Linked DNA regions of Rhinolophus ferrumequinum. The protein of the gene in region 1 interacts with the protein of each later gene in a biochemical or structural test. Links are inferred from orthologs where the notes say so. Each region holds a gene or a part of one and is shown on either strand. Other genes may lie near its edges. The genes, in order: ERBIN, RPS6KA1, PKP4 and SMAD3.

Evidence for each region.
Region 2: the proteins of ERBIN (region 1) and RPS6KA1 interact in a test that uses a peptide from one of them, tested with the Homo sapiens proteins (2 studies listed by BioGRID and IntAct). The link is inferred for Rhinolophus ferrumequinum from reciprocal best matches to the Homo sapiens genes ERBIN and RPS6KA1.
Region 3: the proteins of ERBIN (region 1) and PKP4 form a complex in vitro, tested with the Homo sapiens proteins (4 studies listed by BioGRID and IntAct, with this or other methods). The link is inferred for Rhinolophus ferrumequinum from reciprocal best matches to the Homo sapiens genes ERBIN and PKP4.
Region 4: the proteins of ERBIN (region 1) and SMAD3 form a complex in vitro, tested with the Homo sapiens proteins (2 studies listed by BioGRID). The link is inferred for Rhinolophus ferrumequinum from reciprocal best matches to the Homo sapiens genes ERBIN and SMAD3.

What each region holds. Positions count from the first base shown.
Region 1 is NC_046290.1:42,188,314-42,196,183, forward strand, and holds the start of ERBIN (erbin), read left to right. Parts: upstream 1-4,864; 5' UTR 4,865-5,127; intron 5,128-7,870. UniProt on the Homo sapiens protein: Acts as an adapter for the receptor ERBB2, in epithelia. By binding the unphosphorylated 'Tyr-1248' of receptor ERBB2, it may contribute to stabilize this unphosphorylated state.
Region 2 is NC_046292.1:18,178,040-18,185,842, forward strand, and holds the start of RPS6KA1 (ribosomal protein S6 kinase alpha-1), read left to right. Parts: upstream 1-4,800; 5' UTR 4,801-4,867; coding exon 4,868-5,002; intron 5,003-5,847; coding exon 5,848-5,964; intron 5,965-6,229; coding exon 6,230-6,311; intron 6,312-7,803. UniProt on the Homo sapiens protein: Serine/threonine-protein kinase that acts downstream of ERK (MAPK1/ERK2 and MAPK3/ERK1) signaling and mediates mitogenic and stress-induced activation of the transcription factors CREB1, ETV1/ER81 and NR4A1/NUR77, regulates translation through RPS6 and EIF4B phosphorylation, and mediates cellular proliferation, survival, and differentiation by modulating mTOR signaling and repressing pro-apoptotic function of BAD and DAPK1.
Region 3 is NC_046291.1:63,589,894-63,597,580, reverse strand, and holds the start of PKP4 (plakophilin-4), read left to right. Parts: upstream 1-4,677; 5' UTR 4,678-4,938; intron 4,939-5,631; exon of another isoform or gene 5,632-6,050; intron 6,051-7,687. UniProt on the Homo sapiens protein: Plays a role as a regulator of Rho activity during cytokinesis. May play a role in junctional plaques.
Region 4 is NC_046289.1:44,064,726-44,072,399, forward strand, and holds the start of SMAD3 (mothers against decapentaplegic homolog 3), read right to left. Parts: upstream 3,007-7,674; 5' UTR 2,542-3,006; coding exon 2,336-2,541; intron 85-2,335; exon of another isoform or gene 64-84; intron 1-63. UniProt on the Homo sapiens protein: Receptor-regulated SMAD (R-SMAD) that is an intracellular signal transducer and transcriptional modulator activated by TGF-beta (transforming growth factor) and activin type 1 receptor kinases.

The DNA.
Region 1 (7,870 bases):
CAGGGAAGATTTGAGTGGGGAGGTGGATCAGAGGAAGGTAATAAAGTTGGAAATTATTAGGATGACTATTTGCTGCAGTTGACCCAGGATGTCCTGGTTTTACATTTGTTGTCCCTTTGAAATTGTTATCAATGTCTATTAACTCTCTAAAGTATTCTAGTTTGGATGATACACTATATGAGGGAAGCATAGTATATATTGTCAGTGCATTTTAAAGTGCATTGCTAATAACAGCTAACACTTTTGAGTCTGCAAAGCACTGTGCTAAGCACTTTTTGAGCATTGTCCCATGTAAGTAGTTCTCCGAACAAGCTATGAGGCTGTTAGTATTGTAGTCCCCCAAAAGGTAAGGAAACTCAACTTTGTTTATTATAGATGTTAAAGAACTTGCCCAAGGTCACCAAGCCAAGTTTCTAAGTCAAGCAGTCTTGTTTCAGAGGTCACACAAATAATCACCATGCATTATTTATTTTTTCCACACTTAAAAAAAAAATTGTAAGCCATCTGAAAGAAATTTAATTTTGCTAGGCTACAAAATGTATATGATAGAAAAAAATGTTATCAAGCATATACTAGGGGGAAAAACATCAAAATTTTTTTAAAAAAGTTTTTCACAAATAGAGGCAGACTTCTCTGTGATTCATAAAGTATCATTGAAAATCTCTGAAGGCTGAAACATGCTATAGGAGGGATGATGACATCCCCAAAGTATTATAAAATCCTTAATTTTTGTTCTTGCATGTACTGCCTCTTTTGAGCCCAAGCTCGGTTCCCTGCACACTTGCCACTCTAACCTCTTGCCCTTTCTACCAAGGGGATAAGATGGACGTGAAAATAGGGAAGTCAGTCCCTATGATCTAATTTATCTAATGCTTCTAAACTTTTTTTTGAATCTAACTCTAATCTGGACCAAAGATTAATTTTTCCCCAAATTCTGCGATAAAAACTTCGGTTTTAGGTAACCAATTCTTTACTAGGTGTTGAGGAAGACAGAAAAGAAGAATGATCATCCTAATCTCTTCCTTGTCTCCTGCTTACTGTCTCCATAATGCTTCTGCACAGCTGCTTGACTGTCGTGGGGAAATAACAGGGGGACCTTTTTTAAAGCAGTGGATAGGTGCTCTGCTAAGACACTTTTTCTGATGGATGCTGTGTGCATTCTCTGGAATGCGTTTGGCAAGGTCTTGAAGCTTCCATTCAGATATGTGGCTTTATCTCTAGTAGGCAGTAATTCCTCTCCTGAACCCAGATATTGGGAAGGGAAATCTCAAAGAATTCCCTGTCTTTCACAGACAATTATTTAGAGAATCACAATGTGGAAGATAAAGCTATACTATCAACAAATATTTATTAGCTTACTCTCTAAATTGGTCCTGGAGTTCAGTTAATTATTACAGAATCATGGTTTAGGCAGCCTTGTTTAACGTGGGGTTTCAGTTCTTTTAATCATAATTGAAACTGTTAAGTCCATCTTAAGTTCAACTGTGGGAGGATTTTCAAAGAAAACTAATCTATAAAGCACAGACCAGGAATGCCTTGTAATAAAAAACATGTGGAAGATTTGGCTATATCTGTATGTGCTGTTCATGAGTTGGAACTAAATAGTTGGCAATGAATAACAAAGATGAATTATTAGTCCTGATTATTGACTACCCTGACCATATACCGTGTTCTCCGGAAAAATAAGACCTAACCGAAAAATAAGCCCTAGCGTGATTTTTCAGGATGACATCCCCTGAACATAAGCCCTTGTGCGTCTTTTGGAGCCAAAATTAATATAAGCTCAGTCTTATTTTCGGGGCAACACGGTAGCTGTTATGTCACTTTTCTGTGTGAGCACAGATGAGTATTCCTGAAGATACGTTACAAAGGGATTTTTAAAGAAAAAATAGGTTATATTAACAAGCGCATCCTGTCTTCTATCCTTTTAAGACCAGTGTTTTGGGGATCTTACAGTATGAGTAAGTAGGACTTACATAACAATCAAATGGAATACTTTATTATCTATACTTCTGTTCTCTCCACATTGCCCTCTATTACATTTCCCTCTCCTACATACTCAGCCTCAGCATATGCTGTCTATATTCCTTCCCATCAAAGCTGCTTTAGGGAAACAATCTGATGAGTTAGATATAACTAACTAAAAGGCTTAGAATATTACCTTTCTCAGGATTATGGCTTTGTGATAGAGAAATATGCTAAAAGGAATTAAACTCTAGTGGCAAAATATCAGGTGAATTGGAGAAGGGGTTTTGGGTTATAGGGACTTTTCTAAGCTAAATGGTAATCAGCCTGATCCGTGCCCCAGATCAACTTAAATTTCCAAACAGGCTAGGGTCAGGACAGGTCCTAGCCTAAGGACTGGTCTAGTCCTATTCATTTAGGTTTGGGGTGGGGGCTGTTGGTTTACTAGAATATGATGCCACATTTGAAAGGATCTTGAATCAATCTGAGACGAAATGCATTATCTGTATCCCAAAATCCAGCTGGAGCTGGTATGGGAGATACTGCCACCCTGGGCAGATGGCTTTAGGGCAGTGATCCTTCCAGTTTAGAGCTATACCACTGAGTCTGGTTTGGGTCAGACCCAAACCAGTTGCTGAAAGTGGAATGGGAAATATTTTTTGTGATTAAAAATACAATAGGTTAACTTTAGAATTTATACAATGGCTAAGAGTCATGTTCACATAAAATGGATAACTAGCTTCGTATTACTAGTATACCCTGGTTGCCGTTTCGTTTCCTAGCTTCTAGTGTAATGCTGTCTTACCTCCAGTTCAGCACTGAATTAAGCCTGAACACTTTGGTACTGTGAACCTTCAGCCTCTGCTCTAAGTGAAGGAACTACCTGTGTTAATTTCAGCAGTTCTGGAAGTAGTTAAAATGCTCCCACCCCTAATAGAATGTCTTGAATATCTTTGGAGTTATTTCAAGTCTCAGTAACGTACAACTCTCTTCGGTAAACAATTCTCTGATGGACTTTATGAATTCCTTCTTTTGGATGCAAGCCAAAAATCATCTGTAGGGCATACAGCTCTTTATTCAAACTTGGTAATAAATAATTATCTCTGGAACACAGACGAAGAACTGAAATAGTGACTGCAGGGACACAGAAACTAATTACCATCACTGTACCCAGTTAAATACAGCAGACTGGGGGCGGGGAATGGTTTGTTCCGTATCTGTTACGTTCCTCCTCCGGGTAAAACAAGGCCGTCTTGTCTGTTAACATATTTGAAACAGTAACTGCAAAAACTGTGCAATGTTATGGTTGAGGCGTTTCTGCCATATGTGCTGATAGAAAGCTTAAGTTTCTTTCTGCAATAAACGCAAACCCTGCCAGGCTGAATTATCAGGGCCAGCGCAATTCAACGACTGCACCACCGAAACCACTGGCGGTGGAAGCCTGCGTCGCATTCGGAGTGTATCCAACGTTTCTTCTAACAAAGGCACTATCTCGAGGCAATTTCGCGGGCCGTTTTCCCCCTCCCCTCGCCAGCTTTGTCTCCCCGGCGGGTGAGGCTGAGACTTGGAGGAGCCCCAGCTGCGTTGCTGTGCGAACAAGCTCGGAGCAAGGGCCGGCGTGGGAAGCTCCACGGAGCTGCCGCTGTGGTTTCCTGCAAACTGAGCGTGCCATTAGAGGAAGTTGGAGTGCTGCAGTTGAAAGCGATACCCGCAGTCTTAAAATCGAGCTTGACTTGAACCCTGAGCACCGATAAGTGTCGTACGAAGAAACTCAAGCGACCGATCCAGCGGAGGTCAGCGGGCTCTCCGTCTTCCGGGCCGGGCGCGGAGCAGCCGGGGTCCGCGTCCTAAGCGCCCCCACTTAGGCTGCCGGGGAGCAGCAGACAGGCCTCCCCCTGCCGGGACCAGAGCGGGCCTCACGCGGCGCCTCGCACGCGAAGCCTCGGCCGCCGCCGGCCCCTCCCCCCGACCCCAGCCCCAGCCCCCGGCCGGTCGCCCCCTGCCGCCGCCGACGTCGGCCTGCGCCGCCCCCGCGAGCGGTGACTGGCTCGCGCCGGCCTCCAGCCCAGCTGCCGGCGGTTGGGGTGCAGCCAGCGGGAGGCCGCCCCGCCCCCGCCGCGGAGCCGCGGCGCGCAGCCTCTTCCCCCCGCCTCCTGGCCGCCGGGGCGGTGGCGCCGAAGCCGCGGCGGCCTGTGAGGCAGTAACTCTCCTCCGCCCCAGCCCCCTTCCTCCTCCTTTCTCTCCTCTCCCTGCCTCCCTCCCCTCGCTTCCCCTCCCCTCGCAGTCTCTCGCTCGAGTGAATGTGGCGCGGCGGCGCGGGACGCAGCCTCGGCCCCTGCCGCGGCCCCGCGAGCTCGTGAGGAGACGCAGCCGCCGCCCGCCCCCACCCCCTGCGCTTCCCGGGGGAGCCACCACAGCCGGGGCAGAAGAGGAGGGGAGCGAAGGGCCGGCGGCGGGAAACCGGGAGAGGGCGGAGAAGAGGGTTCGAGGGCAAGTAGGGAAGGCGGAGAGGGACGGCCAGAAGGACGGCCGGCCCGACGGACAGCCCGGGGAGGGGGCCGCCATCGAGCCAGCTCGGCCCCTCGGCTCCGGGTCCCGGCGGCGGCGCGGGCGTAGGGCGCGGCAGGCGCTATCGAGACAATAACCCCGCCGCCCGGCTCTGGGGGCGGCGGCCTAGTGCGGCCAAGGTCCGTCCAGCGTCCCGGCGGCGTCGGTGGCCCCGCCGGCTGGGTACTGTCACCGTCGGGAGTGCGGGGCGCGCGGGTCGCCCCGGGCCAGCGGCTCGCGGCGGACGCCCCCTCCCTGCCCCCTCGGCGCGCGCGGAGCTGGTTTTCCGGGTTCCCCTGGACGGAGCTGGATCCTGCTTCTCGCCAAGGCAGGAAGTGAGTTTCGCACGGTAATTCCGGGCGGTGTCACGAGTGAAAAGTTTTTTTTTTTCGGCGGAGATCCTAGTTGGGGCTGGGAAACTCCTGCAGAACTCGAAGACCAGCCCGCTTCCCAGCCCCCACCGGAGCAGCCTACTCGTCCTGCTGCGGGAGGCCACTCCACATCCGCTCTCACCGTAGAGAAATTCGGCTGGAGCCAAAGTGACTAACGAAGGGAAGGAAATCATGTCTGGCGAAACCTTGAAAAAGCTGCCCTGAGACACTGCCCGACTGAAAGGTAATTATCACGAAAAGTGTCTAGAAGTCACAAAGCTCCTGGGCCAGGAAAGAAAGAATACTTGAATGTTTTTCACTTTCCCCCACGTTGTCCTAATTCTTTTCTAATGTCGAACTGGATAATGTTTCAGGTGCTAAATAGAACTGATTTTTCCCCCCTTCCTACCATCTGGACTCTGGTTATTCTAGAAGAGCTTGTAAGAATGCAGTGGGACGAAAAGTTTTAAGCAATCAGAAGAAAGAGTGCCTTTGTTCAGCGCAAGGTCCAGACGTTTTAGTTTCCCGGAGCATATACAATGTATATTTTTTATTAAGTTGCTGAACCTGGCAACTTTTGTTTTGGAAGGAAGTTAGGTCGCTGCAGCGAGTGATTTGCTGTTGAGATGGCTGCCACATTTGTGTACACTGTTACCAGTTGGGCTTTGGCTTTTAATCGTACAGATATTTTTTTAGTTCAAACCCTTATAAATGTATGTCGTTGGATTTTGTAAACAAAAGAGGTTGCCATTCGTAGTCGTTTTTTCCAGGTAGGTAATATATTTCTTTAGTAACTTGTTTCTTTCAGACATTTAAAACCTTATAATACTTGTTTAATTAATTGAAAGCAAATGACTGCTAGATTTTTCTTGTAACTGAGTGGTGGAAAGAAAAAGGGAGTAAGTGTTAGGGATAAAGAGGGAGTTATAATTAAAAACACACTTGTAAGTTTGATTTGTTAGGACTTCTCTACACTTTAGAACAGAACATAGAGGAAGGGAAGTAAAACGTTTTAAAACGATTTTCATGGGTGTCACATTGTGGTAAATAGATGTGCTTTTTTGTATAGTACAGACAGTCTTTACATTTTTGTGTTGGTCCTAATGTTTTGGCCAGTTCAGCCTAGTAAGTGATAGGTACCTACTGTGGGGGCCGGAATTAGTGAAGCATGGGAAACTTTCCACCAGTCAGAGTTATAAACACTTGTGAACCAATCGGCAGTCTGTATGGATCAAACTAGTTTTGGTCGTAGCAAATACAAAATGTTTCTTTAGTGGTGTCTTTTAAAATTCAATTTTTTCCCCAGTACTTTGTGTTCAAGAGAGGTGACAGATAATACTGTGCTCCTGAATAATTATTAAATGAATGTGGTAGTCTGTTGGTAGGTGTTTCCTAAATATAAATTGTTCGGCTTGTTCATGTTCCATATTACCCCAAGAAAAATTGTCTTCTTTAGTTCAAAGAAGAGAAAGGCAGGTTTGAAAGAGCAAGCTCGAATTATTTCACAACTTGTTCTTTGTTACTTTATTACGTACATTTCAATTCTTGTAACTAATAATATATATAAATATATATTGCTATATATTAGTTGATGTATATTAATATATATAGTAATGCATTGTTTTGATTTTTACCCCCCAGACTTTAGCTTTTGGAGATCTTTTTTTCTTTTAAGTTGCTGGTAAGACTTGTAAACCATCAAGAAATTCCTGTTAAGTCAAAGTAGCTTTATCAGGGAATTTAAGTGCATAACTGATCTACTTTATGATTTTTGGAACGTATCATTAGGCAGTGAAAGGTTATTCTTGGGCATCTGAAAGAGCAGAGCAAAATAAATGGCATTGAACTTCAGTTTCCTTATATGGTTTATACTTGGCTTCAGAGCAACAAAGCCTTAATAGAGCGAGTCTTTTACAGAGAATTATCCTTTTTGAAGATGTTTCTCTGCATTAGTAAATTTTACATATGAAAAGTATTGTAGCACTCAAAAATAACTGCTTAAATCCCATTTTCTAGTTCTTGATTTTTTTTTTTCCTTGAGGGAGCAATAATAGTGTGTTGAGATGCAGACAACACATTTTTTAAAAGCGAGGTGTTCACCTTTGTAGTTGCCTTTAATTCCTTTTTTCCCCTAAACAAGCAAAATTTATTTTGGTTTCCTTAAAATTTTGTTAGTTTAGCACTGGATTAACTTAATGAATATTAGGCTTTATCCATTGCTAAACTATAAGTATTTTCAAAGCCTTGTTTAAAATGTGACAGTGATTTGAAAAAGAGGTTTTAAAAAAAGCGATAATAAATTAAAATATTTTTAAATGATTTCAAATTTTGGATCTTCTTAGTATTGTGTAGGTTTTCTTACATTAAGTTGGCAAGTCTAGAGCATTTCCAACGTTTGCTTATATTGCAAAAAATGCACATTTAATGGCACTGTTTATTAAAGGTACTTAGGAGTTTTCAATAGTGATAAACTTCATCCTTCAACTAATTAATTCAAGTATTATGAAGTCTGTCTGCTGTTTGAGAACAAGGTATTGCAAACTTTGCATGTAGCTTACAGAGATTCAAATATGGAAACCAAATTTTTATTGCATATTTCTTAATGAAGTGTAATTATAGACATTTACACATAACATTGGTAAATCTCTAAAATTCATTTACTTTAAAGATATTGGTACTGAGCTCTTGGTAATAAACACTACTTTTCTTTAATAAACATACTTTACATTTTCAGAAAATTAGGTGCATATTTAGACATTTAAATTATTGCTTATAGATAACATGATTTACAGTTTAAGCTGTTTTGGGCTTAGAAATAGATTATGGCAGTGTTTACAAAGTATTTGGGATAATGCAGAATTTTAGTGGTGTGGATATCAAAGTCATTTTCTTTTTGTAATTGCTATTATCTGGATTTTCTTTAAACATACTTTGATGCTTGCATTTTTACTTTGACTCTTTTCACTTGCCCATCCATTTCTCTCCCT
Region 2 (7,803 bases), on another chromosome or scaffold:
GAGGAGACTTGGGGTGGGCTATGGGGCAGCAGCCACCTTCCCTATGGAGCTGGAATTTGGCTGGGCTCCGACAGCAGCATTTGGGCAGCTGGAGAGAGAAGTGGGCCTTCCAGCGGGAGAAGAGGCATGAAGAGGACTGGGGTATCATGCGTTCTGAGTTCAGGATCCTGCTCCTTTCCTGTTTGCCTTATAACCTTGGGCAAGTGGTTTGCTCCTCTGAGGCTCAGATGCTTTTCCTGTAGGAGAACAGAGTCCATTCCTCAGGGACGCCCGGCGGAGGAGGGCATGGGATGCCTGTAAATTAAAGACCTAATCTAACAAAGTCTGAGGCACAATGTTGGTATTTAACGCTTGTTTATTTATTTCAAGCAGGAAGGGGGATTTGGGGTTTAGCAGTCATAGTGTGGACAGCAGTCTAGAGTGAGAGCTCCCTGAATCTTTTCAACACCCCAGGTGCACCTGGTGTCCTCAGGCATACTGGAGCTCCATTCACCCTCCCTTCCTGGGGGTGGACTGGGCACCCCAGCTTCCCCCCCCAATCTCCGGAGCTGGACCCCTTTGAAGCGCCTGCAGGTCTATTTTGAGAGCCGAGTGTCTCTCCCCTCCCCTCCTCTCTTCCTGTTTATGAAACCCTGATCCCTCCCGGATCCCTTTTGCTCCCCTGGCTGGAGCACAGGCAGGATGTGACTGGATTTCAGGGAGCCTTGGGAGCCTCAGGTGTTGGGGAGAACTTCCCTTGGACTGGCCAGCGCGGGCTCGCCCACCCTCCCAGAACCTGGGACCCTGTGGCAGGGCTCTATCCTTCTGCCTACCCAGAGGTGACACTACAGCAGTAAGACCTGCCATCTCATCCGGGGGGATGTTCTGTTTACAATGCCCCTTTGCCTCTGTGGCCCATTTTGCTTCTAGAAACAACCTTGTTGAGAGTGGAACATCTCATTTTAACCTCTGTTTTAAAGAGGAAGAAAGTGAGGCTCAGACAGAGAAAGAGTTTGCCTGGAAACACTCAGCTAGTGAGTGGCCAGTGCTTAACTTCCCACCCTGCACTCCTGGCCTCAGCCTCTTGTTCATGCTGGTCTCTGCATGAAGTGCCTTTTCTCGCCTTTCTGCCTGGCCAACTCCTATCCTCTTTAAGTTCCAGTTGTACTGCCACCTCTCTGGAAGGTTCTTGGACCTCACCCCAGGCAGATGGTTACTGCCCCTGGGCACCCACAGCACCTGACGGCAGCTCTCCCTGGACAATTGTGTTTTGTTTTCCTGTATTTATTTTCTGGATCTACCTGAGGTCAACACCGGCGTTAGCCTTAACACGGGCGCCTCCCAGTGTCTGGCTCCTGGCCTGGGGACAGAGCGCGGGAACAGTAGCTACGAGTGATGTCCAAAGGGGAGGCCAGCTGGCCAGCCTTGCAGGGAGGGCAATAATGAAATGGTTAGAAGTGTAGGCTTTGGAAGCAAACAGACTTTGATTTTGGTCTTAGCTCTCCCGCTTTCTAGCCATGTGGACTTGGGCAAGTCACTTTCTCTCTGAGCCTAGTTTCCTCATCTCTGAAATGGGATGACAATACCTCCCTTGGAGCTAAGAAACAGGGCCTGCCAGAATCCACATCAGCAAAGGTTGAAGGAAAGAACATCTTTGTGCAATAAATGCTCAATCTGTAGGAGGTACAATTCTCAGTGTCACTCCATGCCAGTCCTGACCTAGGGCCTGAGGCCAGCTCCCCATCAAGGATGTCTGGGAACTGTGGACCCCTCTTGCCCGGCCCAGAGGCATGCTGGGAGATACGTCTGGGGACATCTGTCTCACCAGAGTGGGCAGCACCTGATAGGCCCTGCAGATGCTGTCAGCTGGGGAAGAAGCTGTTGGTGTCCGTTAGGGCCAGGGATTGGCACGTGGGCTTGCACTGCAGCGAGTGGAAGGAGGCCCAGGGGGGCCCTCGGGACCCAGGATCAGGTCAGGGGGCGCTGGGCTTCTCTTGCAGCTGCCTTGTGGAAGGAAGTACATAAGAGGAAGTATCTTTAGGGAGGAATGGGGCAGGGACCAGGGGATGTGGTCTGGTGCCTGTCCTCCCCTCCTGCCACCCAGAGGCCCCCCCAGGCCCTGCACGTACCCTTCAGTGAAGGCAGTTCGGAGACTGTTTCCTTCCTGTACTCTGTTAGCCACAGAGTCTTCCTTTGATTCTCAGGGTCTCAAGGGTGAGGGGGACCCGGTGGCACAGGACCAGAGAGTTTTGGGGCTCCCAGGGCTGTCCCCATCTCCACACCCCTGCCTGAAGCAGCGGGGGTGCAATGAGAAGCCTCCGTCTAAGCAGGCATCTTTCACAAGCCTGGCAGACCAGCATCACACTGTTACTAGAGGCCCTGCGAGGCCTGGAAGGGGAAGTCCGTGTGTACGTGGGGGCGTGTGTTTCCACACAGGGGATGTCTGTGGAAATCGTTTCCGATCATCGGCTTGTGTGTATTTGTGTGCGTATCAGTTCCGGTGGGTGTACTGGTGTGAGTGACGCGGCGAGGCCACGTAGAAGGGGGCTGGGCCTGGTCAACCCCTGACCCAGGCTACCTGCTCCTCCACTGAGACCTCTGTAGGTCCTTGCTAGGGCTTTCTGCCCATCCCAGGGCGCTGGACTGGCAGGTTCTTCAGGGCAGGGCTGCTATGGTGGTGCCTGTTCTGTGGGCTGCCATTTTGGGTGGGCCCAGCCATGGGGAGGTCACTGCGGGGGGAAGGAGAGTCTGTGCTCTGGGCCGGGGCAGTCAGAGCCCATGGGCTTGCTGACTTCTGCCCTCATTCTCTTAAGGGGATGTTTGCAGCTGCTGGATGCCCACTATGTGAGCCCCTCATCACCTCGTGACTCTGTGTTCTAGTCTCCCCTTTCTCGGGATCAGAGGATACGAGGAGGGGTGTATCCCTGGCCCCACCCCCTGCAGTCATGGCCTTGGGGTCTACCGTGTCCCCTCCTCAGCAGGGAAGCCTGTCCCATCTTCTGTCCCTCCTCTCTGCAGAGGGGGAAGTGAGAAGGAGGGGGTCAGGGACCCTGCCTTCTGGGCCAGGAAGGCTGAAAAAGCAGAAGTGAGGGACTAACGGGGCCCTCTGGCCACTGGCTTGAGCCCCACCATGCAGAGCCCGGCAGATCTCCCCTGGGTGGGGAGAGATCCACTCCCCTGTCCCAGAAAGGTGAGCAGAGGGTTCCCTGCCTCCACTGGTGTCTGTCATCATGACTCTGGGCAAGGAATAGGTTTGGGGGTGACTCTTTCCCCTGGGGTTTCCGGGTGACTGGCTCTGTCTCCAGGGAGTATTCTCAGCCAGAGACAGACAGGTGGAGGCTCAGACCGCAGGGTTTGGGGACGGGGGTTGCTGTGTGGCCTTGGCCCACCGCAGCCCCTCTCTGAGCCAGGCTTTCTGCCTGTCCCCCCTGGGGTTACACTCAGGAGCCTGATTAGCGTGCAGCTTTTAGTGGCTGCAGCTTTTTGTGGCTGTTCAGGGTCCCCTGAGGATGTGTCTGTGTCTGTGAGGGTCGATATCTAGAATGAGAAGTCCCCGGACTGACCCTAGTACCGAGGGAGGGGGCGGGCTGGAAGGGCTGGACATGGCTCCGGCTGACTTACCTACCCACCCTTTCCTGGCACTTGAGGCCTCCCAATCGCAGGTCAAGCAATAGCCAGGGGAAGGACTTGGGTTCAAGCTGGCTCTGCCTCCAGTGCACTTTGAGCCTGGGTGAGTCACTGTGCTCTGGACCTCAATTTCCTGTTCCCGAAATGGGCACAACTGCTTTTGGGATATTTGGATGAGAGTCAGAGCCATCAGATTGCACTCAGATATCCCGCTTGGCCTACTTTCGTAGTCCAGGGCCCCCCTTCAGGACCTGGCATGGGAAGAACATTCCAAAGAAATGGAAGACCTCAGAGATGGGTCTGCCACAAATACTGGACTGTTCTCCCAAGTGCTGAGGGTTTGCAGGCGACATCCCCTCACCTCTTTCCTCACCCCCAGGTAGACCAGCTCTGCCTTTGAGTTCGGGGTCCGACTTTTTGGGTGTCCAGGTGTCTTTCCTGCCTATGTGTCTGTCTGCTTGGGCCTCACTGACTGGCAGTCTCTGTTTGCTGCCCACCTGCCTCTGGCTTCTGTTGGGCTCCTGTGTCTGTCTGTACTTGATGAGTGCCTGTCTTCACCTGTTGGGTACATGTCACGTGTTAGGTGTCTGTTGGTTCGTGTCCCCTTATGTCTCTGCCTATTGAGTATGTGTCCCCATCTGTCTCCACCTGTTGGATGCAAGCCCCCATCTGCCTCTGCCTGTTGGGTCCCCATCTGTCTCTGACTGTCGGGTACATGTCCCCATCTGTCTTTGCCTGTTGGATATGTGTTCCCGTTTGCCTCAGCAGGTTGGGTATGAGTCTCTGTCCACCTCTGCCTGTCAGGTATGAGTCCCCTCCTGCCTCTGCTTGTGGGTACCTGTCCCCATCTGTCTCCGCCTGTTGGATATGTGTTCTTTCTACCTCTGCCTGTTGGGCATGTGTACACTCCTTCCTCTGCCTGTTGGATGCCCACCTTCATCTGTCTTTATCTGTTGGGAGCCGGTCTCTGCCTGTGGGGTGCCTATCTGCTCCTCAGCAGCTGGGTTGGTATGGGGCTTTCCCTTTGCAGGCCCACAGGGGATGCAGAGGGCAGCCTTCAGGCAATGGGGACAGGGGAAGAGAGAGGAAAGGAACGTGGTGAGGGTGTAGGCTTGGAGCGAGGAAACCACAGGCCCTGCGTGATTGGTGGCCCGGGCCCAGCCCCCGCCCTCACTCTGCACATCCGCCTCGGGCCGGCCACCTCCGAGGCAGCCCCGGACGCTGCCTGCTCCTGCCATGGTGCCTTGGCCCTGCCGGGCGGATGGAGCAGGATCCCAAGCCGCCCCGTCTGCGGCTCTGGGCCCTGCTCCCCTGGCTGCCCAGGAAGCAGCGGCCCAGGATCAGCCAGACTGCTCTGCCTGCCCCTGGCCCTGGCTCTGGCCCCAGGCGGGACTCGGTGAGTGTGCCCGGATGAGCTGGCCTGCCTGTGGCCCTTGGAGCAGGTGCCTGGGCAGCCAGTGTGGCCTCAGCTGTCTTTGGGCTCTCCTAGCCCAGGCCTGGCCCTGCTGGACGACTGGACCCTACCCAGACCTGCTCCCTGGGGGAGTGAGGAGGCACTCAGGGGTCCAGGGAGTGACACCGGTAGACCGGAGGGAGGGCAGAGGGCGAGGGGTCCTAGGACAACTGGGACCTGAAGAGCGGTTTTTAGTAGACTTGTATGAAGGAACTTTCAGAGGGTGGGGCATGGAGTCTGGCCTTAGCTCCTACCTGCCCCAGACTGGCACTTACTGGGTTGGGGGTAGTCTCAGGTGCCTCTTGGGTCCCTAAGCATCTCAGCTCTGTCCTTCTGGCCAAAAGGATCCCGTCATCCATCCTGTCCAGGAACAAAAACCCAGCTTTGCCTCCCCAGTGTGAGAATAAACCCTACTTCCTATTGTGGCAAAACCAAAACTTGACAGCAGGGGGAGGGGAGGACCTGGGGCTGGTCTGTGGGCCTCAGCCAGAGCCTGCAGTTGGCTCAGCTTGGCCAGCCTGGCCATGCCTGGGCATCCCTTTGGGTGTGACCAGGCCGGAGCATCAGGAACAATAGGAGCAGAGACACCTTAGTAGTTTGACCCCCTCTGGCCTGTGAGGCCCTTTGGTATTGATGAACCTGGAGGCTGGCCCTGTCGGGGCAGCTGTCTGGTTGGGCCTGCAGGGCCCCGTCTACTGAGATCTGGTGTGAGTGGACTTGGATGGGGGACATTCCCCATGCTGGCCTGGATGGGGCCCACGTGCCCACCTGCTGTGTTCCTCCATCAGGATGAGGGTGTCCTCAAGGAGATCTCCATCACGCACCATGTGAAGGCTGGCTCTGAGAAGGCTGACCCATCCCATTTCGAGCTGCTCAAGGTTCTGGGCCAGGGATCCTTTGGCAAAGTAAGTCCTGATCCCACAGTTGGGAGGGAAACAGTGGTCATACCAGAGGTGGGGTGAGAGTTCACTGTGGGGCTCAAAGTACCAGAGGGCAAGGGTTGATGGGGCTCAAGGCAGGACAGGAGGTCACCTTGGTACCCAGGGAGGGCAAAAGGTCAAGGTGGGACTCAGGGAAGTTGGAGGGCAGCTTGGGACCTGGAGGGTGGGAGCTGATGGGCTCAGTCCTCTCCGCAGCTTCTCCTCTGCTTTTCCCGTGCTGCCTTCTCAGGTCTTCCTGGTGCGGAAAGTTACCCGGCCCGACAGTGGGCACCTGTACGCCATGAAGGTACTAAAGAAGGCAACGCTGAAAGGTGAGTGGAGGACACCTCCTCAGGCAGAGCCCAGGGCAGCACAGGACCAAGTGAGATGGCCCAGCTGTCCAGGGCCTTAAGTCTGATGCAGGAGAGAGCTCAGTCTCCAGGAGTGCCTGGTCTGAAGGTGGAGACACTGGCCTGTTCTCAGCTGTCCCTTACTACCCACCACCCCTCCTTATGATGAAGACAGGGTCCAGTCAGAAGAAAAGATCTCCAGGGTTAACTGCACCCCGCGCCCACCCCCACCGCCAAGCCAAGTGCCAGTATGTAGTCTGGAAGGAGGTGGGAGCAGGGGTGCAGTATGTTTGTGTTGGAGGCCTTCAGACATCAGGTTTCAGGCTGGTTGGGCAGAGGCCCCTCTCAGCAGAGTTGCTTCACAATGTTACAAGAGTCTGAGGGAGACCTCAGAGTGGAGAAGGGTGTGAGCAAAGAGGCAGGGAGCCCAGGGAGGCGGTTGCGTGGGTAGGAGAGGTAGTCAAGGCGGGTCCATGGAGATGGATGGCAGAGAGGTTCGGAGGGAGCCCGAGTCCAGGCCTGGAATTCCAGGACTTCCAAAGGGCATGAGGGTGATTGGGAGTAGCCTTTGTGCTGGGCAGTGACTCTGAGCAGCCTGGGAACCAGACTGGCCACTGACCAGGCTGGGGTGAGGTGGGGAGAATTGGAAGTGTTGGCCTTGGGGACATTAGGAGTCATGTGGCCCATGAAGGGGCATCTGTGGGGTGATGTAGCTTTGGTGCCCCAATGCCAGCCTGGTAGGGGTAGGAGTCATTCCTCAGCAGGGACAGTGGGAGCCATGGGGAAAGAGAAAGATGAAAAGACTTGGTCCCTGCTTTGAAGGGCTCCCGTGGGGCTGGAGAGGCAAGGCAGACCTTGCAGGGTGTTGCAATTGGCGCTGCGACTGGGGAGCCCAGGGAAGGTGGGTGCAGCCTCCCAGTGGGGTCGGCTCACATAAGGAGTAACCATTTGAGCTGTGTCTTGAAGGATGAGTTGGGAGTTCTCCAGATTGAAGATGGTAGAGGAAGGGTACCCCAGGATGGAGGAATTGTTTCCCTTAGCAAAAGTGTAAGGGCAGTTTGAACATGTAAGGTTTAGTTGGGAAACAGTGACTAGAATAGTTAACTACAGTGTGGTCCCTGCCATGTCTGGTGAGGGAAACAGAAACGTTAAACTAGCATGTAAAAGGTGCTCCGAAGGGGAAAGCACAGCCCTGTAAGAAAGAGCATCCTGACTCAGCATGGCAGGTTAAGGAAGACTTCCTGGAGGAGGTGAGGCCTAAACTGAGTCAAAGAAGAACCTGCTGATATCAAATTGCCTGAGGACTTTTATTCTCTAAAAACATGTGTGTGTGTGGTGGGGTGGGGGGTGCCTACTCAGACCCATGAATCTGAATTTGAGACCCAGGGAATCTGCCTTTCTAACTAGCTCTCCAAGTGACTGTTCTCACCAGCCCCCAGACTGGAATTGGAGAGTTTTATGGCAGATGGAGAAA
Region 3 (7,687 bases), on another chromosome or scaffold:
TACATCATCTATATATCACATTGTGTGTCACCCCATTACATTTTAATTTTAAAAAAAGAAAGAAACAGAAATCTTATGGAATAAAAAATGAAGTTTACTCTGCTTTCATGGGTAGAATAGTAACCCAGAAAACATCAAGACCAAGGCAGTTGCTCTCTCTGGCTGTCTTGTTCTCAATTCCAAATTCCCAGGAGAAAAATCTGATCGGCACTGTTACAGGTTGTGGGTCAATTGTCAGCCTATGAATTGGCTACATTTAAATCAGGTCCCCATCAAGGCTGGTACCATGGGCCAGATGGAAGATCATGAGCCCATGCAGGGCTACCTACTGCAAGGGTTGTGGAGATAAATACCTGGAAACACGTCTGTTATATCTACCAGATGTTGATGCCTCTCTGATTTTATGAAGTTGTTAAATTCTCAGGATTGTACTGTGTTCAAAAAAGACAGAACATCTTGAATGTTTCAAATGGAAAAAATGTAGGTAACCCTTATTTAACCTGTTTGACAAAGCTGAGTTTCAACTGTTTTCCCCCCATGCACAGAATTTTATAGCCTTAGCTCTGAATATAACTTGATGCCAAAGCACGTCAGTCCTTTTCACATAGGTCCCCTCCCTCATAGAGGGGTCCAAGTAAGTCCCGGTTGAGGTAAGATCTGAGGCCTTTCTCTCTTTGGAGGCTACATGGCAAAAACCTCTACTCCACTCTGCCACACATTACCTCACTTTTCCACTTTGGAACTCTGGTCCCATCTTTTTCTAATTACCTCCCAATATTACCGATTCTAATTTTTCATTATTGGAAGGTCAATTCTGCTAAGGACTAAATAAAAGGTTTAATGAATGTTGGCTTTTCTTAGTGTGAGAAACACTTCCGTAGTCTAAGGCACTGTGATATAGTCATGACCATGATATGTACCCTATTCTAGGAGAGAAAGCTCACAGAGATAAGTATAACATTGGATACAGAGTGTTAAGTGCCACCGTAATATGTTAAAGCAGAAATCATCCTCTCCACCGAGGGGTGAGGTCAGGAAATTTTCAGAAAAATCTTTACAGGTAACTATTGGGCTGGGCTCAAAGGGCAGGGGAGGATTTACATATTCAGAGAACGGGCTGGAGGTGAGGCATGGCCAATTCTGAAATCTAGAGCAGAAATTCTAAACTCTAGGATCTCTTTTTAGGACCAGTTTATTTCATTGCTTTCTTTCCTTAATTTGCACCCTGTATGTTTTAACATTTCTTTTAAAAATAAAAAAAAACAAAAAACCCAGTAGCAGCTATCAGTGTACATTTTGAAGTTATTATCTTCAATGCCTTCACCTTCTCTATATACATCCAAACTGAGAAGATAAGGTGTTCCTGCTCCCCCCTTTTCCTTGCGGCCTCTGTTAATATGAAAACAACAAACATTGGAAAGTTACAAAGTTTTCATAATCATGAAACGTTCAGGTTGACTTCTTTCTGGGATGGTCACTAAAATGTTCCCTTGGATTTGCTGTTTACATTTGTTCTTAAGGGTGGAGCTCACCAAACTCCTTCCTTCTTTCCAACATTTCTAACTTGCCCTAGGCCCCAGTCAGCCTGAGCAGAGACTCCTCTTTCTTTTTTCTAATCTGATTTGCCCTAGGCCCCTCTTCCCACTCTTAATTACTAGGAGTTAGTCCCACACAGGTAGTGCAGCTAACAAGTAAAGCTCACCTTCTCAGGTACATTTGCATTTCTATGGACCCTCAGGGTGGGAGACAATGGTTTCTCACCTTCACTGGAAATCTTGAATTCAGGCACTGCAATTTGCAAGTAAACAACACTTTTGTAGGAGAAACCTTTATGCAAAATGAGTTAGGATTTTGAATCTTCAGAATCATTTTGGTTATATTCAAGGGCCAGAATATTGAGGGTGATAAAAATAGAAGCCCTGAGAAATTCCCTTCAGACTGTTTCTTGGTGAAAGGAATGGCCAACAGATAGAGATGGAGGTAGGACAGAAGGAAGGTGGTTTTATAAAAAGTCAGATACTTAAGGCACAGTGAAAAAAATATTAAAGGATGGAACACATGACCAAAGACAGAAATTATAATCAGCAGAGCAACATCCTGGAGGAGGAAGAAGAAGAATGACCCATGTTTAGGAGCACAAGTGGAGCATGAGCTTAGAAGAGAAGTATAGACACCCCTTCTCAGCCAGGACTGAAGGAAGTGATGAAGTTTAAAAATTGAAACTGAGGTCTAGGAAAGTTAAATTGAGGAAGCTCGTGGTGGATGCCTCAGTCAAAGAAAAGGCAAAATCATTTGCAGAACTAGAAGACCAAGTACAGTGGGAGCTTAAGGACAGCAGAAATAGGACAGGTTTGGGAGAAGTGCCTTGGATAATGTCCCTAGATAAGCATCCTTGATAATTGATCACCCTACTGATGAGGAAAGGAATTTAGAGAAACAGTGAAGACCCAGCCAAGTATGGATAGCATAAACTTATAGTGGAATAAAATTTCTTAACCTTATCTAGTAGTTCAACAGCAAGTTCAAAAGAAACTTTTCAACAATTATGAAAAGAATAATGTTGAATGAAAACATTTTAGGTGACAATAATCATGGTGGATTTTAGTAACGTTTTAATCATTACAAACTTGAAATACATAATACCAAAACACTCTTCAAACATGTGACCTGGGAAAAATACAAGAAAATTATTGGAGTAAAAAAATGAATTGGTTCTTGTTTTATTTTTTCCATGCTAGCCTAAGGCAAGAAAAAGGGATACATATATCAATTTTTTTTCTTTTCATTAGACTCATCTCCCTTTCATCTAATAGTATTTTTTTTAAAAACACTAAATCATTGGTATCGTGTTAGTGCATTAAAAATAAGTCTTATTTATATAAAAATTGCATTTTACCTTTTCTATTCTCCTATAAACAAACACAAAAGAAAGCCAGAAATAAAAAGCATGATGATCTAATTTCCATGATGGCAAAGCATGAGATAGCATTCCATAGCCCCTGGTGATTCCTTCCCAATTCTGAAACTAGGGGGAACACTCACATGTTCAGTTGTTTTGTTCTGCAGTCCAACCCTGCATAGGATTGTCAACTAAGTTGAAATATTACTACAAATTGTGAGAGATATTTTTCCAATCAAAGCACCACATTAATAATTTCTATCTATGTTTGTAATCTTCAACTACAGTAAGATAAAAAACAACAGCAAAGCATATTACCAACTTAAAGTTCTGGACAGTAGGTAGACATATAGTTTGCTGAAGCATTAATCCGTTTCTCTCAACAAAATACTCGTAATTTCCAAAATCCTATTAGCTTTCTTTAACAATATGGTCAGCCCCAACTGGAGGGGCAGTAACATACACAGTCTTCTTACTAAAGAGATTGGTATAAAAAAATAGCAAAACCACCAAAAGAAGGAACCTAAGAATATTAGTGGCTATATGATAGAGCAATATAATGCTTAAAAGCCTAATATATTCATGAAGTCTCATTTTAGGAGCCAGTATCTAAATATGAAAATTATTTACCAAAAACAGTTGGTATTGACAAACAAGCACAACGTAACTTTAAATAAAAGATGAGATTTGTTAAAAGATCAAGATTTTTGTGTGTACCGATTCCATGGCTCAGTGTTGTTGTTGTTTTCTTCCATCAAATTTAGACATCATCTGGAAAATACCCTGAAAACAAAATCCATCAACTGTAATCTATTTCCTTCACTCTCTTGTGAAATCATTAGAAACACGGATTGACTCTGTCACCTGTCTTCCCCACCCTGTAACCTCTTAAGGGAAAGAGCAAACATCTGTCAGCTCATAGTGCAGAAAGCACACACAGATAGGTGTTTAATAAATATCCTTCAACACAGAGATTAGAGGATTGCTTCGGGAAGCAGGGAACACATTATCTTCTGTGTTGAGCTTATGACATACAATATGTCAGTTTCCTTATCGAACTATCATCCAAAGGAAATCCTTTTTGAATCTCCTTTATGTAGGGCTGTAAGTTTGAAGACCCAAAAATTAGAGGCAAGATCCGCCCTAGGCAAGGAGTGGTTGGGAAGAACAAGTAGAATTCAGGAGTTTCAGTGACGTCAGGAGGAAGCAGCGATTTAAGGGGTGGGGAGCAAACTCACCTGGAGAAGCAGAAGCTGCACTCATATCTCTAGGGTCAATGGGCATAGCCTCAGGGGCTCCCCAGACGCGGGAAAAGAGAACGACCTCCAAGGCTCTCACCTTCAAGGATTGGGGCTCAGCTGTTCCTGCCTTTGACGCCAGGAACAAACCCTACCTTTCACTGCTGGAGCTGACAGAAAGGCAAAGCAAAAGCTACGCCAAATGTTAAAGCCAGCTCCCGGGAATCCCCCTGTACTTCTTTCCCCCACCCCCCTCCGGCGCCCAAAGCCACCGACACCTTCCCTCTCACTCTCCACCTTCTCCAGGCCCTCACGCTCTTAACAGCATCGGTCTCTATGGCAACCTGAAACCGCAGTTCCCATTGGCCCGTTCAATATGAGGGCCGGGCCAATAGGGAGGGCCAGCCTTTTCCTTCCGACCAATGGGGTTGGCGGGGAGCCGGTCTGGGGACGGCGGCGTGCTGACGTTCCCGGGAGCCCAGGGCTGGCTGGGCAGGCGGGCTAGCGGCTGGGCGGGCGGCGGCGGCCTCTGGGCAGCAGAGGGGGCTCCGGGGCTGAGTCTGTGTCGTTGCCGGCCGCAGAGGCGGCACCATGGGCACCGGGTAGAGGGGCAAGTTGGCCACCGCCGCCGCCGGGGGTGGTGGGAGAGCCGCTTCGGGGGAGGGGGCGGGTGGGGGAGGGAGGGGCGGGCAGCCGCTCCGCCACGGCACTTTTTTAATTTTTCGGGTGCCGTAGGGGCGACCCCTCGGCATTGCTGTCCCTGATCCCCGGAGCGACGACGGCCGCTGCCTGACCTGGAAAGTAAGTGTGCGGGCTCTCTGGAGAGCGCGGAGACTCCTGCCCACGAGACCCCCGGCCCTCGGCCCCTCGCGCCCCAGCCGGGACCTGCCTGCGAGGGGCACGGTGGGGGGACGGGCGCCTCCCTCCCGTTACTCCGTCCCCACCGCCTCGCGGCCGCCTTGGCTTTCCTGCCCCGCCTCGTGTTCCTGCCCGCACTCGCCTGCCTGCTCCCCTCCCCCCGGCAGGCGCACAAGTTTCACCCTCCATTTGCTTTTCCCGGTGATTCCTCTCCTCGGGTCTCCCCTACATACCGCGCGTGACCCCTCCCCACCTTGGCCTTTTCTCATCCAGAGCGCCCAGCCCTGAACTGGAGCGCCACGCCGAGCCCTCCTGGACGTCTGCCGGGAGGTTCCCCAGCTCCTGCCCGCCTGGCACGCCGCCCCGCGCCCCCAACACCCCGAGGCGCCCGCCTTCCCCAGCTTTCGGAGCCGTCTGTCCATCCCTCCCGCCCCAGATCTTGCATCCTGGCTCTCTCCCCTCCCTCCCACGCCCCTGCTGCCGCGCGGTCTCGCGTTTGCCCCCGGAGCCCCGCACTCCAGCGGGTCCTGCCCACCCGGCTCTGTCCAGTGCGCCCTTCTTTGCTCGCGGCGTTTGCTCACGCTCCACCCCTCCCGGTTCCCCAGCTCCGAGCTTCCCTGGCTATCCTCCTGCGCCGCCGCTTCCTCCTTTCCCTGCCAGTAGTTGAAGTGGAGCTGCGGCACCTCCCTGGCGGATCGGGTGTCCCTGCCCGGCGCTGGGGCTGCCCGGCCCTCTCCTTTTTACCCCCTACCGGGGAAGCGAGGGGGTGAGCCGCGGGGCCGGGGTTTGGCTGCATGTTGGCTGAGTGCGACAAACAGCGAGCGCGGGCACTGGAAGCGCCGCGGCGGCCGTGGCCGCTTGGGGAGCAGCAATAGGCAGGTGTCTGTGTCCGGGGGGGACGCACGCCGCGGGCTCGTCGGCTGGCGACAGATTGTGCAGGAATGCGAGGAATGCACCAGGGGCATAGTCCAGAGGGCCCGCCGCGGCTGCACTAGAGCCTTCCTGGCCCAGCTCCGGCCGCGCAGTCAGAGGTCACCGGAGCATCTTTGGAGCTGGTGAGGCTCGCTTCACTCCTCTCCTCCCCTTGCCTCTTCATGCGGCAGAGAGGGCGGCGGAGGGGAAGCGCGGCAGTTCTGTTGGGCTTCATCTAGCCTTTCGTTTGGGTTTTTGCTGCATTGGTCTCCAGGACCGTGAATTTGGGGCCAGTGGCAGTGTAGCTAAGGTTATTGATCACTGCACACGGTTCTTGGCAAGTTTGGTTTGCAAGGTTTTAATTGTGCCTGGTTTTTCCGGGGGTTTTATGAAAACCTGCAGGAAAGGGTGCAGAAGGTTCTTAGAGTAATGAGCTTGCAGCCAACGTTTTTTAGCTCTATCAAAAAATGTCTGTTAATGCTCATGGACTGCGATGTACTGCAAAAGAGATCTTGAATGCATCGCTTTGCTGTCATAAGAATTGGAATTTTTCTTGTCATACTGGGCTGTGTTTAGACCTCTTATAATATATAATGAGTAGAAACAGAGAAGCAGTGTTTGGTCAGCGATGGGACAGATAGAACTGTCTGGTACAGTTAAATTCGGGGCGTGTCAGTTACCATTGAAAGTAACACGGGGACAACACAATCATGTATATTTAAAGATGTAATTTATTAGTGGAGGTCGCAGCTTTTTGTTTTTTTTTTTCTGAGTTTGAAAAAAAATTAACACAGCCCTACAACTTTTAAAGAATGGTAATTATTATTGTGTAAAATCAATAATGATCAGTATACATTTTTGGTCAAATTTTATTTTCCTTAATGAAGAAAAGCAAATTTTTGACAGAAGATAATTTTCTAGAATTGATCTTAGATTCTTTTATTTTAAAAGGGAAGGTAGAAGACTGCTTCTCTTTTTCAATGCAATATGTTGCTATAGAAGTATCTTTTTGATGCCTGTGTAACAGTTATGGAAAATGGCAACCTGAAATGAGAACAACCGGTGTTTAAAACAAGTGTTTCTGATGTTGAAAAGCATACAATGTGTGCTTTTATTTGACACAGTTTGCTTTGGAGGTTGAGTTTACTATAAGCCTCTCCAAACTTGGTTATTTTGTATCAGATTCAGGAATATAAATTGGTTGTCTAGCTGTCTTCCAGCACTCACTTTGGGTGGATCAAGGGCATTCAAAAGTATAAGATGAGCACCTTTTAGTTAAGGACCTAATGGAAAGGAGAAATAGAAAAGGAAAAAAAACTGCACTGGGAAAGGTTGTGTGTTTTGGCTACTACATTGTTTTTCAGGTATGTCCATAATATGTAGACCTTCTAATTTAGAGGTTGAACTCTTAATTAGAGTTAGCAACACTGTAGGATATTGGAAGGTGTTTGTAGATGCCAACAGGAAACTTGTTATGTAACAATATCATATTACAGCAGAGTTTAACACGTGCTTATTTGATTTGATGGGAAGATTAGAAGTAAAAGCACATTTAGTTTCTGTTACACTAGAAATTGAAGTAGCCCATTCAATATATAGATAATGCATATGCAGGATTGGCTGTACAAGTAAAGTTTTACCCATTCAAGTAAAGGTAGGCTTTCAGTTAGAAATGTATTCTATTGTTATAGATATTTGAAGAGAGGAAGTTTTTAAACAGGTGATAATCCACAATTGAAAACAACATGTACTGTGTTTTGACTAAGTACATTCCTTCCCC
Region 4 (7,674 bases), on another chromosome or scaffold:
CAAGCAACTGGGTTTCCCTAACTGAGAAAAGACAAAAAAAAAAAAAAAAAAAGTCTGCCTTACCAGTCCTTGCCAGGCAGGTAGTAGAAGCCCCCAGTCCTAACAGGTCATGAGAAAGCCAGGGGGCAAGTTAGCTTGAACACTCAGAAATATTCAAAGCATTCATATGCCTCAAGCTGCAGACAACTGTAAAAGAAGGAAAAGCAGGCCATAGCTAGGTTCCCCCAGAGGGCAAACTTTTACCAAGGCAGGGGAAAAAGCAAGCCCTCTCCTCCAGGCTGTCACCAGCACACAGACTGAACATTGGCAAACTTACCAACATAAATCCACACTGCCCTCCACCTCTCCATCCACCCCTGGTCTCCTTAATAGTGCTTCAGCATTCAGCATTCAGCAAAGAACTATTCAGAACCTTCAAAGGAAATAGCAGCATGGGGTAGGAAAAGGAGCACATTGGGTCAGAATCCCATGTCTACAATAGCAAGCATTTTCACCTCTTCTCCAAAGTTTTCTCGACTTTACAAATGAGATAAACCTTAAGCCTAATTGCCTTATCTCTTTTCCAGGAGTTTCTTTCTTTCTTGATTTCATAACACCATGTGAAAGTGCTCTGTAAACTGTAAAACACTTTACACAGCTGCTTGTTTTATAATTGATACCTTTTTTTTCCCCTTCTGTTTCAAGGCACAAGGCACTTGTCCTTACTGCTCCTGGACAGGTAAGAGGGCAGGTCTCACAAACCCCTCCCCAGGCAGAAGTAGGACATTCATCACTCATTCACCCTACTCACCCACCCACCCACCCACCCCCGACTAAAGGAGTAAAGAAGAATGAAGAACCAGAGCTGGGACCAGAACCCAGGGCTCAGTGACCATCACATCACACCACCTCCTCTGAAGTCAGTTCTGGCTTCGGATCACACGCCCAGAGCGCACTTCCCAGACAGTACACCGCCTTCCCTCCCCCTTTATTGACTGGATCCACCCAGTTAAAAAAAAATTATTATTTTTTAAGTCAGCTCTCCCACCATATGTGGCATTTATTTCCAGAGAAGGCCTGCCCTGGGTTCCCAGGGACAGATGTTGCTTTGTGCCTGCCTGACACGGCTGGCAGCCCTTGTACAGCTGCCCCAAGCAGGTGGCCAAGGATGGGGACCACTGCTGGCCCACGAGTAAGGATGACAATCTCTGTGGGACTCAGGTCCTAGGAACACTCTACTCATGCCTCTGCAGCCTGGGACCCCAAGGACACACACACACACACACTCCTTTGGTGCAGAGTCAGACTTTAGAGGGGGCTGAGAGGAAGAGACAAGAGGCCAAGGTGTCCCCTCATACCCCAATTTCCATCCAGGCACAGCTAAACTAAGAGAAGGCCCTGGGGAGTGAAGTCACTGACCCCTTCTATCAGCCATCTGTGAGCTCCCTCCTAACCCCGCTAGCTAGCGTGTGGTGGCGGATAAAGGAGGTCCAGGCAGATGGCAAAGCGCTTTAGGAAGGAGGGCTCTGCAGGAATGCAAGGGCCGCTTCGAGGCCCACTTTGGGGTGAGTTTTGTTATCTCCTCAGCTCCAAGCACTCTCTGTTCTGCATCAACCCGCAGTCTCAGACTGAAAGGAGGGCAAAAAGCAGTCTCAGGAGGCAGGGGAGAAGACCCTACTCTCTGCCACTTGTCTCTCATTTGAAAGTCAGCATTGCACTGCAACCAAAGTGAATGTGTGCAGAGGGGGCGGGAGACTGGCACAACCAAGTCTAAAAATACTCGATAAAAATGCTAATCCCGAAGGCAAAGAGAGAACGAAGAAGGAATCTGTCAATCACGAAGCTCCCGCTCCTCACCCACAGCCCCAGCTGTACCGACTGCATTCCTGTTGACGAGGAAAGACGTGGGGGGACAGGACTGAAGAAAAGAAAGGGAGAGACACCACCACCTCCACGAGCGCGGGCCGCGGGGGCGGGAGGCGGCGGCGGAGGAGGGGCTCTGGCCCGCGGAGCTGAACAAAGCGGGCCTCAACTTTGAGCCCGCAGCTCCCCGGTGTGGGGGCGGACAATTCCAGCAGTACCCCTCTTTCCCTGAGGTGAAAAGCGAAATGTGAGGTCTGGCGTGAGAATGCCGCGTGGAAACCCCAGGCTCTTAATCTGCGAATGCAGAGAAGGTTTTGTTCAGGGTCTCCTTTCTGTCCGCACTCCCACCTCCCCTTACACAACACACACATACACACACACACACACGCACACACACACACACACACACCCCTCCCGCTCCAACCCCACCCGGCCGTCCCCGCCGCGCCAGGGGTCTGGGCCAGCGCGCCCCCGGGGTCGCTCGGGCCCCCACCTGGGAATAGTGATGCACTTGGTGTTGACGTTCTGCGTGGTGATGGCCTTCTCCAGTTCATCCAGCTGCCCCGTCTTCTTGAGCTTCTTGACCAAACTCTTGACCGCCTTCTCGCACCACTTCTCCTCCTGCCCGTTCTGCTCGCCCTTCTTCCAGCCCAGCAGGCGCTTCACGATCGGGGGGGTGAAGGGCAGGATGGACGACATGGCTGGGGAGGACGCGCGGGCGGCGAGGGGCGCCCCCGGCGGGGCTGGGCGCGGCGGGACGCCGGGGGCGCAGAAGGGAGCTGGGCCGGGGCTGCCCAAACTTCGCGTCAACTCTCGGCGAACTTGCCGGCGCTCCGGGCCGGGCCTCGGCACTGCAGCCTGCGGGGCTCCCACGGCGTTGAGAAGGACGGTGGGGGAAGCGGGCGGGAGGACGACTGCGGCGCCGGGTCGGCCAGGCCCCGAACGCGGGGCGGAGGCTGCAGCCGCGAGCCTCGGAGTGGCAGAAGAAAGTTTGGGTTTCCGCACGGGGTGGCTGTTTGGGTGCCGCCTCCAGGAAGGAAAGTCCAACCCCCACCCAAACTTTGCTCGCCTCGATCGCTTTGATGCGCAGATGCCTCCGACTCAGCAGCCTCGCCTCCCAGCTACCCTCCTCCTTCCCCGCTCGCTCGCTCGCTCGCTGGGCCGGCCCGGGCGGTGCGCCGCGCTCCCGCTCCCGCTCCCGCCCGCTCCCAGTCTGTGTTTCATGCAAATCCGCGTGCAGCCTCCTTTCCAAGCGCTGTCACCGCCCCCTTGCCGCCGGGGCTCCCCGCCTTCTCCCCCGCTCCCTCCCCCGCTCCCCGCCACCTCCTCCCCCGGGCGCCCTGCCCGCCCCCAGCCTCCGGGAGGGCGCCCGATCTCCCCCGCCCGGCCTGGAGCACGCCCACGTGGGCGATCCCGGACAGCGGCGGCCCTGGCTGGAGCGCGCAGGACCCCGCGCGGCCCCGACCTGAGTCCGGCCGGCGCCTGGAGGAAGTCGTGGGAAAGGAGCCGCGAGAGGGGCCCCCGGCGCGGAACCCACACTCAGGAAGCTCAGTTGAAGTTGCGGGCCCGAGAGGGTTAGATTCGCAGAGAATGAGCGCCGTACAGCCAAAGGCTGGCGGTGCACCCCTGGGAGGGCCCTGGTCCGAGAGAGGGCGCACCGAAAGCCGAGTCCCAGGAAGTCGGGGCGCACACTTGCACGCGCGAGCGCTGGTCCGGGTCAGGGCCCTTGGCCGGCGCTGGCGACCCGAGAGCTGTTTTCATTCTTTCAATTTTGAGATCACACTGGCTGAAAGCCCCGAAACTAGGTGCAAAGGAGGGAGTTGGGAGGCGGGAGAACTGGGATTCAAAAGTGGACTTTTGGGGACCCCAGTGACTCCCTGAATAATAGCTGGAGCTAGGGGGCCCTTGCGAATTGAGTGCCCGGTAGAAAATAAGCCTCAAAGACATCTCCTGAGTTCAAGAAGTAAGGAACGGGGGTGCTTTAGAATGTCTCTTTCAGAGGAAACATAACCGGGTGTTTGGAATCTTATGATACAGTAAGATCCGAAATTCGACACCCAATAAATAGATGGAGAGAGAGCTTTGTTTCCAAAGCTGTGAACTCGCAAAAAGTAGAGCAGAAGGGGAGTACTCGGATAGTTTATATATTCAAAGTTAGCCTTGGTGGGAGGCATTGAAACACCAGGCTATTGAGGAACTTTGGGGCTTTACTCCCCACTAGCAGAATTCATGGGCATCTGCCCACAAAGCCCTCAGCCTCTTTCAGGAGTTAGTCATCCCAGGCCCCCAGGGCCTTTCTCCTGCAGCCCCTCCCCTACCATGCCTGTAGCCTGGTGTTTAAGGCCTTTGTTTTTAACAGCAGGAAACCCCCCGGAGTGAGAAAGAAGTTATCTGCAAACCTTCAGGCCTGGGGAGTTACAGAGCCCTGTGAGGTAGGGCAGAATCCACAAAGTTGGCCCAGAAGCTGCAGGGGTCCCTGCCTTGTCAGAGAGAACGGCCTCCCACAAGCCTGTTGGCTGCTTCGGCTGCTGCTGAGCCTGGCTCTTCACACTTCTGTCCTAAGTCCCCACTACAAGGACCTTAAAAGAGAACCCCTGAACCCCACCTGGGGCTTAAGTACCTGCTTACTCTTCCTGGCTGGTCCTCTGGCTAACCCAAAGCCGCTGTAAGCCTTAGGTTTCACTCCCCACTTCCCAGCTCTCATCAAAAAAGCGAAGGAAGGCAATCCACAGATGGCTTTCTTCATTCCAGGTACCCAAGTGCTGTCCTCTGATTTAATCTTCGCAATAGCCGTTGAGGTAGACGTTCCTAGGCCTCCCATTTGCAGAGAGATTACAATACTCACTCGGGATTCCAACCAGAAGAGCTGGGATCTGAACCCCGTGCTTTGTGAGGCCTCAGTCCGCACTCTTGCCACTGCACCCAGCCTTATTATAGTTGTGGAAGGCAAAGATGACATCATTGATAGAGCTCTTTGCAAAACAAAAGTTCTTTACACAGTCACGCTATTGTCACACTCCAAGAAATGTTTGCTCACCTGTAAAATGGGGCTAGAAGTAGCTTTCCTCTCAACCTCCCAGGGTGGTCGTGGGACTCTAACATGAAAAGCTTTGCAAACAGTCAAATGTTGTAAATGAGAGGAACCCCACCTTGGGGCCACTGCTAAGGCCATGAAGAGTGGTGCGGGTGACGGAGCCCAGGTCAGTTAGACATGCACTCATTTCTGGGAAATGAAAAATGAAGCTTCCCTAACCTCAACCAGCTCAAGGCCTAGAGAAGCATGAAGGGGTGGGAGGTGTGTGTCTGGTCGAAAGGAGCCATTGCATTCGTCATATCCCAGTAATACAATATTCACCGGAATCAAATCAAGCAGGTCCAACTGTTGAAAGGCAGTCGGATAAAGACAAAGGTCTTCAAGCTCCATCAACGACTGGCTGGGCTTTCAATCCTGGCTCTCTCCCTCCTTTCACCCCATGAGCACCTGTTCTCTCAACGGTAAGGATGGAGGGAACGGTCCTTACTGTGCAGAGTGGTGTATCTAGAAAGAGCTTTAAAATTGTTCTCCTCCAATGCAAGTCCCTCATTTTACACTGGTAGAAGAGATGTCTGATGAAAGGAGGCGATTTGCACTGTGGAGGTAAAGAGCCTAAAAGAGATCTGAGGATTATATGTAGTGGAAGGATCTGGTATGTACCTAACCCTCTAAAGTCATGACATTGGAAGGGGCCTCATTCAGTCCTGTCATTTTCCTGAGAGGAAGAAATAGCCGCTAGTTAGTGTAACTAACCATGCTTTCCTGAACTTCCTTCGTATGCTGGCATCCATGTGACTGGGACAGCTGTACATGCAGAAAAACAGTGCTGGATCCACATGCGAGTCCAACAAGTACCGTTGCTGGGCTAATTCTTTCTCCTCTAGCCTCAGTTTCTCCACAGGAAGAGAGTTGAGGGAATAAGCCCAGTTTCACAAAGCAGTGAGGAGGGCTGATGACTGGATTGCTCCAGGTGCTAAGAGGACCCTGCGTGCGCCCTTGACTTGGGCCGTGAGTGGGTTGGCGGCTCCAGGTGGATAGGAATTCTGTTCTGGAGCCTGGTCTCCCAGGCCCGGGCCTTTGCAGAAGTTGTCCTTGGAAGGGAAACATTAGCCCGGTTAATTTTTCATCACGGTAGGTGCAAAGTTCAAGAGAGGCGGGATGGGGCCGGAGGCTGCGACTCCATTTCCCTGGGAATAGTTAGTCCTATCAGGGAGGAACCACGTAAGCGGACTTGCCAAAGGGTTTTCATGTGTTTGGAGCAGCTCCCAGGTAGAACAGTGGAAGGAAACAAACACCTGACTTCAATTCTGATTATTTTTCCATTGGCGAAAGGGTGTTTCATCAACAAGTTGTGAATCTAGAAAAAGCATTAAAATGGTCCTGTCTTCATGTGACACAGACATAAAGTGACATCTGGTGAAGGGAGGTGATACGTCTAGAGATACGTTAGGACTCTGCCAGGACTAGAACTCTCATCAGTGTGCCCTCACCTAAGAGAGAGCCACAGTCTCCAGCCAGACCTCTTTCTATATATAGCAGCTTATACACGTGAACTCTCCAGAGGCACCAGACAGATCTGAGTTAAACTAGTTCTACCACTTCTAGCTGTGTGACTTGGGGCAAGTCCCTCAACTCCCTGTGTGTCAGTTTCCTCATCCGTATAATGGGAATAATAATAACACCTACCTCTTAGGGTTGCTGTAAGGACTCAAATAACCCATGTAGAGAGCTTGCCATAAGCCCACAGTACGTTTTCAGTATTCTATGCCATAGAGCACAATGCAAAAGTTAGAAGCAATAAGTTCTGTGTACACAAAATAAAGGGACTGATCTTAAAAACAGTTCCAAAAATGAAAATAGTAACACAGAGAATGAAGTAAAAAACTATGCTACTCATGTGAAAAATTACATATAACCAAAATAACAATATATGTTGTGAAACAAATCATATAAACAAAAAGATACACATTGAACCACTTCACACCCATTAGGATGGCCATCAATATACACACGACTTGTATTCATCTTTGGTTATTGGTATATATTGAGTATTATAATTTTAATAAAGTGTTTTCCGTTCTTAGAATGCGTAGACTTTTTTTTTTTGGCACTCTCTGTATATATGTAAAACAGAAAATAACAAGAGTTGGTGAGATGTGGAGAAATTGGAACCCTTCTGCATTGCGTGTGGGAATATAAAATGATGCAGCCACTGTGGAAAATGGTATGTTGGGTCCTCAAAAAATTAAACATAGAATTACTACTTGATCAGCAACTCTGCTTCTGGGTATATACCCAAAAGAAGCAAAAGCAGGGACTCAAACAGATATTTGTATACCCATGTTCATAATACCATTATTCATGATAGCCAAAAGGGGGAAACAAACCAAGTGTCTCTTGATGGATGAATGGGTAAACAAAATGTGGGATACGAGGTGTAATCATAAAATACGATGAATGTTTAAATTTTAAAAGATGTATTACAATAAAAGACACATTAATATCCTTCAAAATACTCTCCCTCACTTTGAACACACTTATCCCATCATTCTTGCCACTTTCTGAAGCAGTTCTGGAAGTCCTCTTTCGTGAGTGTCTTGTGCTGTCGTGGCTGCCTCGATGTCCTGAATCAATTCAAAAAATTTTCCTTTCATGGTCATTTTGACTTTGGAGAAGAGCCAGAAGTTGCATGGTGCCAGATCCGGTAAATAGATGGATGAGGACATACAATAGTGTTTTTATGTGACAGAAATCGCCATACCAGAAGCAATGTGTGACACAGAGCGTTGTCACGATGG